Linked DNA regions of Elephas maximus indicus. The protein of the gene in region 2 interacts with the protein of the main gene of each other region in a pairwise test. Links are inferred from orthologs where the notes say so. Each region holds a gene or a part of one and is shown on either strand. Other genes may lie near its edges.

Region 1 (3,901 bases), on a different chromosome or scaffold from region 2:
GACAAGAGCTAACACCCCCAGCTTCCTAGGAATGTCTGGGGCCTCCTTCCTATCTATGGGGTCCCGAGCGACCCTAAGCCGGACAACTGGTCCTGGTTTCTCTCTCTGCTTTCTTCTCAGTTAGGGATGGAAGTGCTGCAGCAGCTGGGGTCAAGGTATGTGGAATAGGAGATTGTGGCCTGGAGTTCAGACCAAGCAGTAACGACATAGACTGAGAAAACGCTAGGATTCACAGAGGTGAGGGGGTGAGGCCCAGGAGCCAAGGGCAATTTTGGGAGGCAAGGTCCTCACCTCATGCAGGCTGAGTTGCTTGCCCTCTCGCCGCTTGGAGTCAAAGCGGCCATAGATGATGCTGTACTTGCGAATCTCCTCTTCTTTCTGGCTGTCACTATCATCCATCTCAAAGATGTGCCCCACGCTCCGTGCCAGCTTCTTATTCAGCTTTAGCAGGGAGGTTACCTCCCCAGCATCCCCCCTTGGGAAGCTCCGGAAGATTCTCTCCACACTCTCTACCACCATGCGAACCATTTCTGGCTCCAGTCGGTCTGGACCACCCCCAGTCCCACCTACTGCTAGTCCCCCAGCCCCAGTTCCCTCAGGGACTCCTCCCCCTGCAGGTGGGGAGAAGGGGGGTGAGCCAGCCTCCTCTTCTCCTCCTGCCCCAACATCCGACTCTGGAGTGCTCCGACCTGGCCAGATCCGGGGATCCCCTGCCCCAGGTCCCCCTGACAGTGGTGACAGCTTCTCCCCAAGTTCCAGGGGGCTTTTGGGGCTAAAACTGCGGGCACTACCCGCCTTTTCCCCTGGGCTGCCATGCCCATTGCTCATGTTCCCTTTCCGGGTACCCGCAGTCTCAGAGATCTTGAACAGGGGGATGCTGGAGACGGGTACGGCAGGCACTGGCTGGCTGAAGAGCCCTGGATTTGTGGCCCACTCTCTCAGTGCCTTCTGCAGGCGCCGGACATGAAGGGGCTTAGTGGCCATGCCCACGAGTGCCATGATCTCCAGGAACTCCTCCTCCCCCGCCTCACACAGCTGCTGCACGTCGTCCCCTCCCTGCTGGATGAAGGTCTCGTAGTAGGAAAGGAGATTGGCACGCTGCAGGACCCGGTACAGCTGCAGCTCCCCCAGCGTCCGAGGCAGTGCCATTGCTCGGGCACTGGGCCTGAGAAGGAGGTGCACAAGAGAGAGAGACAGTGGATCCAAGTCCCTTGTTGGGTACCAGCCCATCCCCACAACTGTCTTCTCTTGGCTGCCTGCTTTTCTTCCCTTCTCTTAAACGCTCTATCTGCCCAGTGCCCAAGCCTAAACACAGACCATGAGAATCAAGACACTCACTGCTCAGAAATACAAGCATGCCAGTGCCATCCCAGAGTGGCCAGAAGTACACAAAGCCAATGCCCAGTCTTTACAGGAGTCAAAGACTCAGCCTCTGCCTTCAGCTTTTATCCTGCAGGCCTGGTGCAAGGAGCACTGAAACCTGCCAGCCCAGCCCTGAGGTGGCTGGACCTCCCTCTCTCCCAGAATGCAGATTTCACCTTGAACTCTAAATACTCAAAAATCTCAACATTACCCAAGATGACATCTCACTCTAAGGTGAAGGCCCACCTTTTCATCCCACATGGACAGTGGGAACCCTGCTGGCTAGCTCCACACCCACATGACATGCTGCCCAGGTGGATGAGAGGGAGGGGTGTGGCCCCTTCCCCGCCCTTTTCAACTAATGAGCCAGGGGACCCATGTTCCTCTCCCAGGGCTTAGATGGTCTTCTTAAAGCACCCTTCTAGGACCTACCCTCCCCCCCAAGCTACCCAGTGCCCCTCAGTTGGCCCCTCTCCTAGCAGTGACCTTCCCCACTTGCTAGCTAGGCCTGTCCCTTGATGGGGGGGGGGGGGAATGCCTCAATTGTTCTGCTTTGGGGCCCTTCCGCCCACACACACTCCCACAGTGGTAGGGTCTGTGGGCGAAAACCGCCCGGAGACTCCCGCCTACTTTCCACTCCTTCATTTCCCACCCACATCTTCAAGTGGAGTGGAGGAGCGGCTCAAGGCGGGAGGGGCTGCACATCAGCTCTTCTACACTCCCCCCCCCCCCCGCACTGCTGTAACTAGAAAGACTGAAAAGGAAAAACAGGCTTAACACATTCCTCTGCTTCCCCAGTGCCCTAAAGATGCTCTCTTGGCCCAAAGGCGCTGGCTTCTCCCGGACCCCGGGGCCCCGCGCACTCCGTGCCAACGCCAGATTGAGCCAGCCAGCGGCCCTCCCGCGACACTCTTGCCTCCAGCTCCAAGGGCTTCCCCTGGTGCTTGGGGGCTCCCACGTTCTTTGTGGGGAGCTCACAATGCCTCCAGATCCCTGCCAGATCATGCTCACAGAGTAAACGGGTGAGGAGGAGCCAGGTACTACTCTTTCACATTCAGCTCATCAAATCCCTGCTGCCCCAGGGTCCCCTAATTCGAAAACTCACCCCCTCTCCCATCAGTCTCCACCCCCCCACCCCCATCCCGCTTCCCTTGTTCTCTCCCAGACCCCTGCCCCCCCGGACCCCATTCCGAAGTCCGACTCCACCCATCTCCATTCCCCGACGCTTCCCTTTGCCCACTAACTTGAGTCTGGGCTGCGGGGTCCGGTGGGCGCTGTCCCCTCCGCCCAGCGGCTGCTCGGCAGTGGGGGAGGGCGCTCTGTGCATGGACGGCAAGAGACCACCCGGGCTGCCCCTCTCGGTGCTCAGCGCTCAGCACCTGGTGCGCGCTGCGCTCTTCCCGGTGCGCGATACCGTGTCCGTAGCTGTCCAGGCTCCGTCCCTCCCTCCACGTCTCCTCTCTCCGAGCCTCCGCGCCTCTGTCTGTGCCTCTGCCCCCCCCCTCCCCGGCTGCGCTTGCCGCCTCTCCGCTCCTCCGCCCCCGCAGGACGCACGGGGAGCGAGGCCCGGCGCTGCGCAGGCTGCTGGGCGGGCAGAGGGCGTGGGCAGTGCCGGGGCGGAGGCCGGGGGCGGGGGGCGGGAGTCCAGGTCTGTCCGCCGCGGAGAGGCCTCGGCGGAGAGATGGAGAGAGGCGGAGATTGCGGGGAGGGGGTGTGAAACAGGAGGCGGGGGCGGTGACTGGGAGCCGGGGTGCCAAGTTGGAGATCGAGGTGACTGAGGCCGAGCTGTGGAAGGCGGGCTTGGGGACCCAGCGGGCGGGGCGAGGTCGCTCCGTGCCGCCCACCCCGGATGCACAGCCAGCCTTCTCCGCACCCACGTGTCCACGTGAGCGCCCCGCCGGCGACATTCCTACACCCCCACCACCTTTACTCCTCTGAGCTGAGAGCGGAGTTTCACAACCGCGCGCAAGTACACAAAGACAACAGAAGCGCACGGACGGGTAAAGGCACTGAGACAACTACGCGGACGCCCGCGGCCCACACTGCGAGGGCGTCGTGGTGCCGTATGTGTGAATGTTAGGAGCGAGCCGGCCAAAGTTGGCGGAAAATTGTGCGCAGCTCTGCTGGTGCGTGCATCTGACTACCATAGGGTTTGAACGTAAGGCAGATCTGTGAGCGTAGGGCTTGCTCTGGAGGAATCCCTTAGGTATTCCGGTGCCATTCCCCAGTCCTAAAAGGAGTAATCTGGGGAGACTGCTATCGGAAACCCAGGCCTCCTCCATCCCTGCCTCCCTTGTTGCCGAAGTTTGGGAAAACAGGAACAGGAGGTCACCACATAGGTTCTCTTTCATTAGACGCGTCAGGGTTTGTTAGCGCTTAGGTCAGGCAGGGGGTATGCTGCTTGCTGTGGTAGTAGAACTGTTCCTTGAGAATGTCCGTGTGGCAAAGCTGGGATAAGAAGATACCCTTCTGGGACACCTATTAGGGGATCTCGTTAGAGTCTAGTTGAGGAGCTGCAGGAGGCGCGCGTCCGACTTGC
Region 2 (3,901 bases):
CAAAAATACAATGAGTAAATTTTATTTTGTATATCAAACAAGTAAACCACATGCTCAAGGTTAAGATTTTCACTAAATGGTAAAACAAACTCTGGGGAAAGCTTCTTGCAAACAAATGCAATTTTATGAAACCTGAAAAGAAAGAATATTTACCTCAACCCCACTTATGTTAATTATTTTGTGTCTTTAAGATATTTAGCTTATATTTTACAGATTTCTTTGTATATGATTAAAATGTAAGCTCAGTGCTTTGTATTGTCAAAGCACTTGATTTTATTTCAAAATGGAACTTAAATTTTTTATGTTTGGGAGAGACAAACATAAAACAACAAAACACACGCACAGGTAACGGCACGTTGCAATGAAAAAAGCCTGGATGGATGAGATGAACAATTAAGATGGGACCAATATGAAAAACTTCTAAAAATTAAAGTAAGCACGGGTGAAGTACAATGCAAAATCACATCACTATTTCATATATTAAAAAAAAAAAAAATTAACCAAAGCAAAATACCGAATCAAACCAATTTCGCCCTTCCTGCCTGCTTCTGCTTTCCCCGCCAGCCTTCTTTCTTCTCATTCCCCCCAGCACCCGAAATCTCCTATCGCGAGAAGGGTACTTAATTGGAGACCCTGGTGGCTAGTGGTTAAGAGCTACGGCTGCTAACGTAAGATGGTCTGCAGTTCGAATCTATTAGGTGCTCCCTGGAAACCCTATGGGACGGTTCTACTCTATCCTGTAGGGTCGGTATTATTTGGAATCGACTGGACAGCAACTTTTTTTTTTTTTTTTTAATTTAACCTCTATGAACTTCTGACTTAGTGGTGATTTTCGAGGAAACACGAGAAAGCCGTCAGTATAGTGCACAGAGCGTAACAAACGTATATTGACACTAAACCTGCTCAGGGCGAATCCAGTACACGAACAGAGGGTAACACTTCACTTAGTCTTCACGTCTCTAAAACGTGGAACTTGTAATTCTGACGTTTACGCACCTCACAGCAGCGCATGCTCCGTAGGTGAAACAGCGCCTCTCCTTCCCCTCGTTGGAGATTCTGGTTTGTCTATTAATTTACGACAGTCGTAAATTAGGATTTCGTGATGGCTTCCTAACTTTACGACGGCAACAACTATGGCGGCTGCTAGTGGTAGATTTGAAAGTGCGAAGAGTATCGAAGAGCGTAAAGAACAGACCCGGATTGCTAGGGCCGAAGTGTTGCGCCAGGTACGTCTATTTTGGAGCTTTTGAAACCCTTTAAGTTGTGGGAGTGGAGGGTTCCCGACAGCTAGGCACTCCAGCTTCCCTCATCCCGGCACACACTTAAGTACCTTACCTTTTCTGGGTGGGGTCTCTTTTGAGGATACCCCCAAGCTCTTGGCTGTTCCCCGCCTTCCAAACGCTCTGGCTGGCTCCTTTGTTCTTTCCCTGTATTCAGGGAGCGTTGTTCCTTTTCCTCTGAGTTTCCTTGCCTTTTAAATCATCCCGTCTTTTCTGTCTCCTGGACTGCGCACTTGTAGGGACTCTGCCGTAGTGCCTTACAGCCTTAGTCCTTGCTCATGTTGTATCTGAAACTAAAATTTTCATTTTGAAGAACAGTTGTAAAGAATGTGTTTGACCATTTTATTCTCGTGTCTTCCTTTTGGTATCAGTTTCAGGCTCATTGCAAGCCTTTACTGATCCAAACAAGGGTTGACAGTGGAGACCCAGAAAATTTAGTCCCTGGAAAAAGATTGAGAAACTTTGTATTCCTCATTTAGACTGAGATGCATAGAGGTAAGATACAAAGAATGGAGCAAGTAAACTCTATTAAATTGTCTAACAAGCTATTCAAGATGTTTGGTAACAAATGGGAAAAGTTAATAGCTGGAGAGCAAGGTAGGGTACAAGTGAAAGTACACGGTTTTGTTTGTTTTATGATGGGAGAATTTTAAACGAGTTTAAATGCAAATGAAAGGATCCAGTACAGAAGGAAAGGTAGAGGATGCAGGAATGAGAGGGTATAATGACTACAGCCAGATCTTAAAGTGGGAGAGTAGGCAGTTAGTCTTAGACAAGCGCAAGGTCTGTATTGCTCCCTGACTTTAGTATAAGTATTATGTATGTATAGTAAGTATTCTTCAACCTTGATTCTGGTATTTTCAAGCAGTTTTTCGAGGGAAGTAGGGTTTGTAAGCATGCTTTTAAATCCTCATTGTTTCTGTAACCCTTATCTGCAAACTCAGCCTTATTTGCTCTTATTTATTCTTGTGAAAGAGTTTACTTAATGCTATTCAAATGTAAGTGTTTTCTGTAATTTGCTGAAGCTTGTTCAATATTATCGTGGGGTAAGGGAGAAAGATTTATTTGTGGAAAAATAAGTGGTAACATAGTTCTGATATGACTATTAGGAAAAGATAAAAGACTATTAGTAAAAGATTACATTGTTGAACAGGAGCTATGAATATTATTTACTCATTTATTTGCATACAGACTAGAATTACCTTGAGAACTGATATTTGTTTGCAACATTACCATTCATATTAGTTCCTTAAGTGGTTTTAAAAATTTTTATTGTAATTCATTTTCATTTTTATTTGAGTTTTCTTACTTTTGCTGTGAGGAATAAAATGATCCTCACTCCCAAATGCTGGAAGAAAACTTCCAGTTTACTCTTTGATATTTGAAGAAAAAAATATCCAAAACTTGGAAATAAGGCAAAACATGACTATGCTTCCCTTAATATTGTAGTTGATTTGGAAATCGATTTGGCGCTTCCTTATAAAGCTAGAAATAGAACTGCTATACGATCCAGCAATCCCACTCCTTGGACTATGTCCTAGAGAAATAAGAGCCTTTACGCGAACAGATATATGTACACCCATGTTTATTGCAGCACTGTTTACAATAGCAAAAACATGGAAGCAACCAAGGTGCCCATCAACACATGAATGGATAAATCAATTATGGTATGTTCACGCAATGGAATACTACGCATCGGTAAAGAACAGTGAGGAATCTGTGAGACATACAACATGGAGGAACCTGGAAGGCATTATGCTGAGTGAAATTAGTCAGTTGCAAAAGGACAAATATTGTAGAAAACCACTATTATAAGAACTTGAGAAATAGTTTAAACTGAGAAGAAAACGTTCTTTTGTAAAAAGTTACGAGAGGGGGGAGGGAGGGAGGAGGGTGGGAGAGGGGCATTCACTAGATAGTAGATGAGAACTACTTCAGGTGAAGGGAGAGACAGCACACAATACAGGGGAGGTCAGCACAATGGGACTAAACCAAAAGCAAAGAAGTTTCCTGAGTAAACTGAATGCTTCGAAGGCCAGCGAAGCAGGGGCAGGGGTCTGGGGACCATGGTTTCAGGGGACATCTAAGTCAATTGGCATAATAAAATCTATTAAGAAAACATTCTGCATCCCACTTTGAAGAGTGGTGTCTGGAGTCTTAAATGCTGGCAAGCAGCCATCTAAGATGCATTCATTGGTCTCAACCCACCTGGATCAAAGGAGAATGAAGAACACCAAGGACACAAGGCGATTACGAGCCTAAGAGACAGAAGGGGCCACATGAACCATAGACTACATCATCCTGAGACCTGAAGAACTAGATGGTGCCTGGCTACATCCAATGACTGCCCTGACAGGGAACACAACAGAGAACCTCTGAGGGAGCAGAAGAGCAGTGGGATGCAGACCCCAAATTCTCATAAAAAGACTGAGACTAGAAGGACCCGGGTGATCATGGCACCCAGATCTTCTATTGGCCCAGGACAGGAGCCATTCCCGAAGCCAGCTCTTCAGACATGGATTGGACTGGACAATGGGTTGGAGAGGGATGCTGGTGAGGAGTGAGCTTCTTGGATCAGGTGGACACTTGAGACTATGTTGGCATCTCCTGCCTGGAGGGGA
Region 3 (3,901 bases), on a different chromosome or scaffold from region 2:
TAAGATAATGAAACCAACTTTGTAAAGCTGTTAAGAAGATCACAGACAACTTGATTTTACTTAGGACATCGTGATCTTTACCATAGGCTGATGAATTTGGTCTTTTTACACACATTCTGGAAATAATGACACCGAGGCTTCAAAAAGTTATAAACTGAGATTGGAGCCCAGATGTGTCTGGCTCCAAAGGCCATGTGTGTCCACGAGCCAGTATGTGGTGGGGTGGAGAAACAACAGCAATCTGTGCTCACGGCCTCACACCTGGCAGAAGGTGAGGAATGCCTACAACCAACACCGTGTCCCCCTTAGGACAACAGCCTGCTCCCTCTCTTATTCCCCTTAAGCGTTAGATTGAAAAACACCTCCTGCCCTCAACTCCCAAAAAAGAAAGAAAGTGAAGAATCTTAGGTCCAACTCTGAATTCCCCATTTAACAGGAAGCTGGGCCTTGTACAAGTGGAGTCCTTGTCTTCTCAGGCCGTTGAGTCCACCCCTGTGAAAGGTAGCTGCTCTCTCCCACCTGTCTGTCACACTGTGAAGTCAAAATGGCTGGAGAAAACTGAATGAGCACTCCCACCGCTGTGGGCCTCACAGACAAAGGCCTAAAGGGCGGAAGGCAGCAGGGCACCTCTGAGAAGCCCAAATCCTTCCATTTGACAAGATTAGGCCAGAGCCATGCTTTTTCATGCCATGATGAAAAACTCAGCTAATATTCCTCTTCTTGGAATGCCATCTCTTAAAAGAACTGACATATGGAATACACTAGAATGAAAAGAACAGCTATATCAACTACCTAGAAAACGCTATCCTCCTTGTCCAAGAAACTGGAACCTTCCAGCCTCCTAACCCCTGAGCCTGAACTGTTCCCAGCAGAACCCTTGAGCTGGAAGTCAAGAGCACACTCTCAACTGCCCTCATCAAAACGGACAGCTATCGAAGCCTACAGAAATTACATGGACCCTCACCATCCCACAACACTACTTCACATAGCAAGTCACCACCCATTACACTAGTCTAAGTCGGCAGGAGTCCCTGTGTAGTGCAAAGGGTTAAGCACTCCACTAGCTGAAAAGTTGGTGGTTTGAACCCACCCAGAAGTGCCTCAGAAGACAGGTCTGGCGATCTGCTTTCAAAAGGTTATAGCCTAGAAAACCCTACAGAGCAGTTCTCTGCACAGGTGGGATCAGCGAGACTGAATGGACTCCACAGCAACTAACAAGTTGGCCACGGGCTTTTTCTGCTTTCTCCAAATGCATACTACATATGAGACACAAGTCCCTACTAGCTGCAGTCCCTGGGTGGTGCGAATGGTTAACACCCTAGGCTGCTAATGTAAAGATCAGAGATTCAAGTGCACCCAGAGGCATGTCAGAAGAAATGCCTGGTGATCTGCTTCCAAAAAATCAGCCACTGAAAACCCTACAGAGCACAGTTCTACTCTGACACACGTGGGGTCACCATGAGTTGGAGTCGACTTGACAGCAACCGGAATTGGTACTTTTCTACCAGCTAGGAGTGATGTGACCCATCTCTGACAACGGAAGCAATGCAACTGCCATGCTTTCCTCAGATGGAGAACTGGAGGTGAAGGTGCAGTCACCGCCAGAGAGCGGCCCTCAGGGAAGAGCATCCCTCTTTACTGGACTGTCCCTGAGGCCCCGAGCTTCCTAAGGACTGGCATCCCCAACACCGGCCAGGAAGCCCTCCCTCTGGCCCTCACGGTCCCCCGCTTGGCTCTGCTGACCAGCTGCTCAGTCCCAGCGGCTCTCTTAGGTCCAGCAGCCAAGCAGGGGGCGTGAGGAACTGACCACAAAGTCTGAAGCCGAAACAAGGACGAGGAGCGGCCAGGGGATGCTAGGGGTCAGTGGCGAGAGAACGTGGGGTGACGGGGGACGGCAGAGACCCTGCTAGATGGAAGGAAGGTGAGGAGAAGGAAAGGGAAAAGCCCGACCCCGCGGGAGAGAGGGATCTAGAGGGGGGCGGAGCCGCACCCCGGGGCGAGGAGGGGCAGGGCCTGGCTGGACTCCGCGGGGCAGGACCGAGGTCGGACCTCCACAGACGAGGGCAGGGCCGGGAGCACCGAGTCCTCAAAGAGGGGGGTCCTGGCCCAGGGCAAGGGAAGACGAGGGCCGGCTCGGACCTCCACAGGCGGCCGCAGTAGGAGCACCCGGGGTCACAGGGAGCGGGGTCCGGGCGGCGATCGCGCGGCAGGGACCGAGAGGGGCGGCCCGGCTCAGCACCGCGCCCCACGCTTAGCCCTCACCTGAGCCGCCTCACGCCGCCGCCGCCGCCGCTCGGATCTCCCTCCTCCGGCCGGGCCCGCGTCTCGCGAGAGGTGCGGCCGGTTCTCGCGAGACGCGACGGGACGCGCCCCGGGCAGCCAGGAGCACCGCGCTCGGCGGCTTCTGACCTCCTGCGGCTGCACCGGGTGCCGCCCGCCGCTCCGAGACCCCTCCCGGAGAGGGCTCAGAGCCGAAGAAGGGACACTGGAATATCGGAGTGCCTCCCAGCCACCCACCCACCCACCGCACGGTGGGCTTCAGCGGAGGCACAGCGCCTAGTACTGTAATGTGTGGAGTAGCAGCGCCACCGGTGGCCTCCTAGGGCCAAACTTTTTTGCCCTGTTGGTTCTAGCAAAGATTTTGTTACTACGATACTTGAATCAGTATTTGAGTTAATAGGTCTTTTCCTTTTCTCTGGACCGCCTGGGAAATACAAACTAGATATGCTTCCTAGGCTATCCATCTTCCCAGTGCCCTGTAGGCTCCTGGAGCGCAGGGACCTTGTCTAATCCTCCTCTTCTTCCAGAGTGCAGCATGTAATAAGGGGGTGAAAAAGACAAACCCCAACAGCCAACCCCCTGTTCAGCGCCGGCGCTGACCCTCGATTCTGTACTGGCTCATAGCATTATCCCATCGCTCCCTGAATTACAGCAACTTTGTGTTTTTATTAACATAGAGCCCTTCCCGGAGGACAGTTTGTCTGGCTTGTTCATAAATTTTCAGCCTCTCCTCCTTTTTTTTTTTTTTTTCCTCCACTGCCCTGTCCCAGACTTTTCTCTAAAGTGCTGTTCACAACGGGCTGCATCGATTTTCCAGAAGACAAAAGCCTTCCAAGTTTGTGTGCCTCCAGAAGGAAAGAGGTTGGGGGAAGGGTGTGCTGGAGGTAGGACACTGGGTCCTCTGGACTTAACTGATTGCAATCAAATTTTAAAAACTTGGCCTGCCGCTTCCTTCGGAGAGCTGGACCAGGCCCCAGGGCCCTGATGGGGACTCCTGGGTATCTATTCTTCTCCTTGCTGGTCCCTGGGATTTAATCTTCAATACAGTCAATGACTTCTACTTGAGGGATGAGCACACCTCCAGGAAATGGCTTTTAAGAAACCAGTTTTTAAAAAACTAAAGCATGGAAATCCCTTAAAATAATCCATGTATATTCTCTTATAGATATGCATCAAGTTCCTGGAAGAGTAAAATAAAATAAATGAACACACCACATCACTGCTTGCTTTGGCAATTACTTTTATGGTCTTTGGCGCCTGCAGGATTACACCAATATAGATTTCCAGCAGAAGCCAAGGCATACCCACCCCATGCATAAATACATACCAAATGTCTTCCCTAATTGCTCTGGGAACTCGTTCTGCTTGAAGAATGGATGCATTTTCAGATTATCCACCAGAGAGACGGAAATTCATCCCCAGGTTGAAATTTCAGACTTTTCTACATTACACTGTGTAGCCAAGATAACAACCTGTGCATTGTTCTCTTTAGAGCAAGGGTGGAAACCTGCTTCCCTGTAGGCTGTTCAGTCCTTAAGGCAGGGAAGCTACATAGAGGTGTGTGCATCTCTGCCTCAGTGAATTGTTCTTTTTTATCTTTCCCTCAGTCGCTCTCTTATCA

Evidence for each region.
Region 1: the proteins of CWF19L2 (region 2) and NAB2 interact in binary tests that used the Homo sapiens proteins (3 or more experiments, as listed by UniProt). The two-hybrid records come from large-scale screens. The link is inferred for Elephas maximus indicus from reciprocal best matches to the Homo sapiens genes CWF19L2 and NAB2.
Region 3: the proteins of CWF19L2 (region 2) and MAD1L1 interact in binary tests that used the Homo sapiens proteins (3 or more experiments, as listed by UniProt). The two-hybrid records come from large-scale screens. The link is inferred for Elephas maximus indicus from reciprocal best matches to the Homo sapiens genes CWF19L2 and MAD1L1.

The regions. Positions count from the first base shown.
Region 1 is NC_064822.1:117,002,347-117,006,247, reverse strand, and holds the start of NAB2 (NGFI-A-binding protein 2), read right to left. Parts: upstream 2,944-3,901; 5' UTR 2,690-2,943; coding exon 2,607-2,689; intron 1,166-2,606; coding exon 292-1,165; intron 1-291. UniProt on the Homo sapiens protein: Acts as a transcriptional repressor for zinc finger transcription factors EGR1 and EGR2. Isoform 2 lacks repression ability.
Region 2 is NC_064825.1:12,388,668-12,392,568, forward strand, and holds the start of CWF19L2 (CWF19-like protein 2), read left to right. Parts: upstream 1-1,077; 5' UTR 1,078-1,133; coding exon 1,134-1,226; intron 1,227-3,901.
Region 3 is NC_064830.1:96,566,328-96,570,228, forward strand, and holds the start of MAD1L1 (mitotic spindle assembly checkpoint protein MAD1), read right to left. Parts: upstream 2,338-3,901; 5' UTR 2,263-2,337; intron 1-2,262. UniProt on the Homo sapiens protein: Component of the spindle-assembly checkpoint that prevents the onset of anaphase until all chromosomes are properly aligned at the metaphase plate.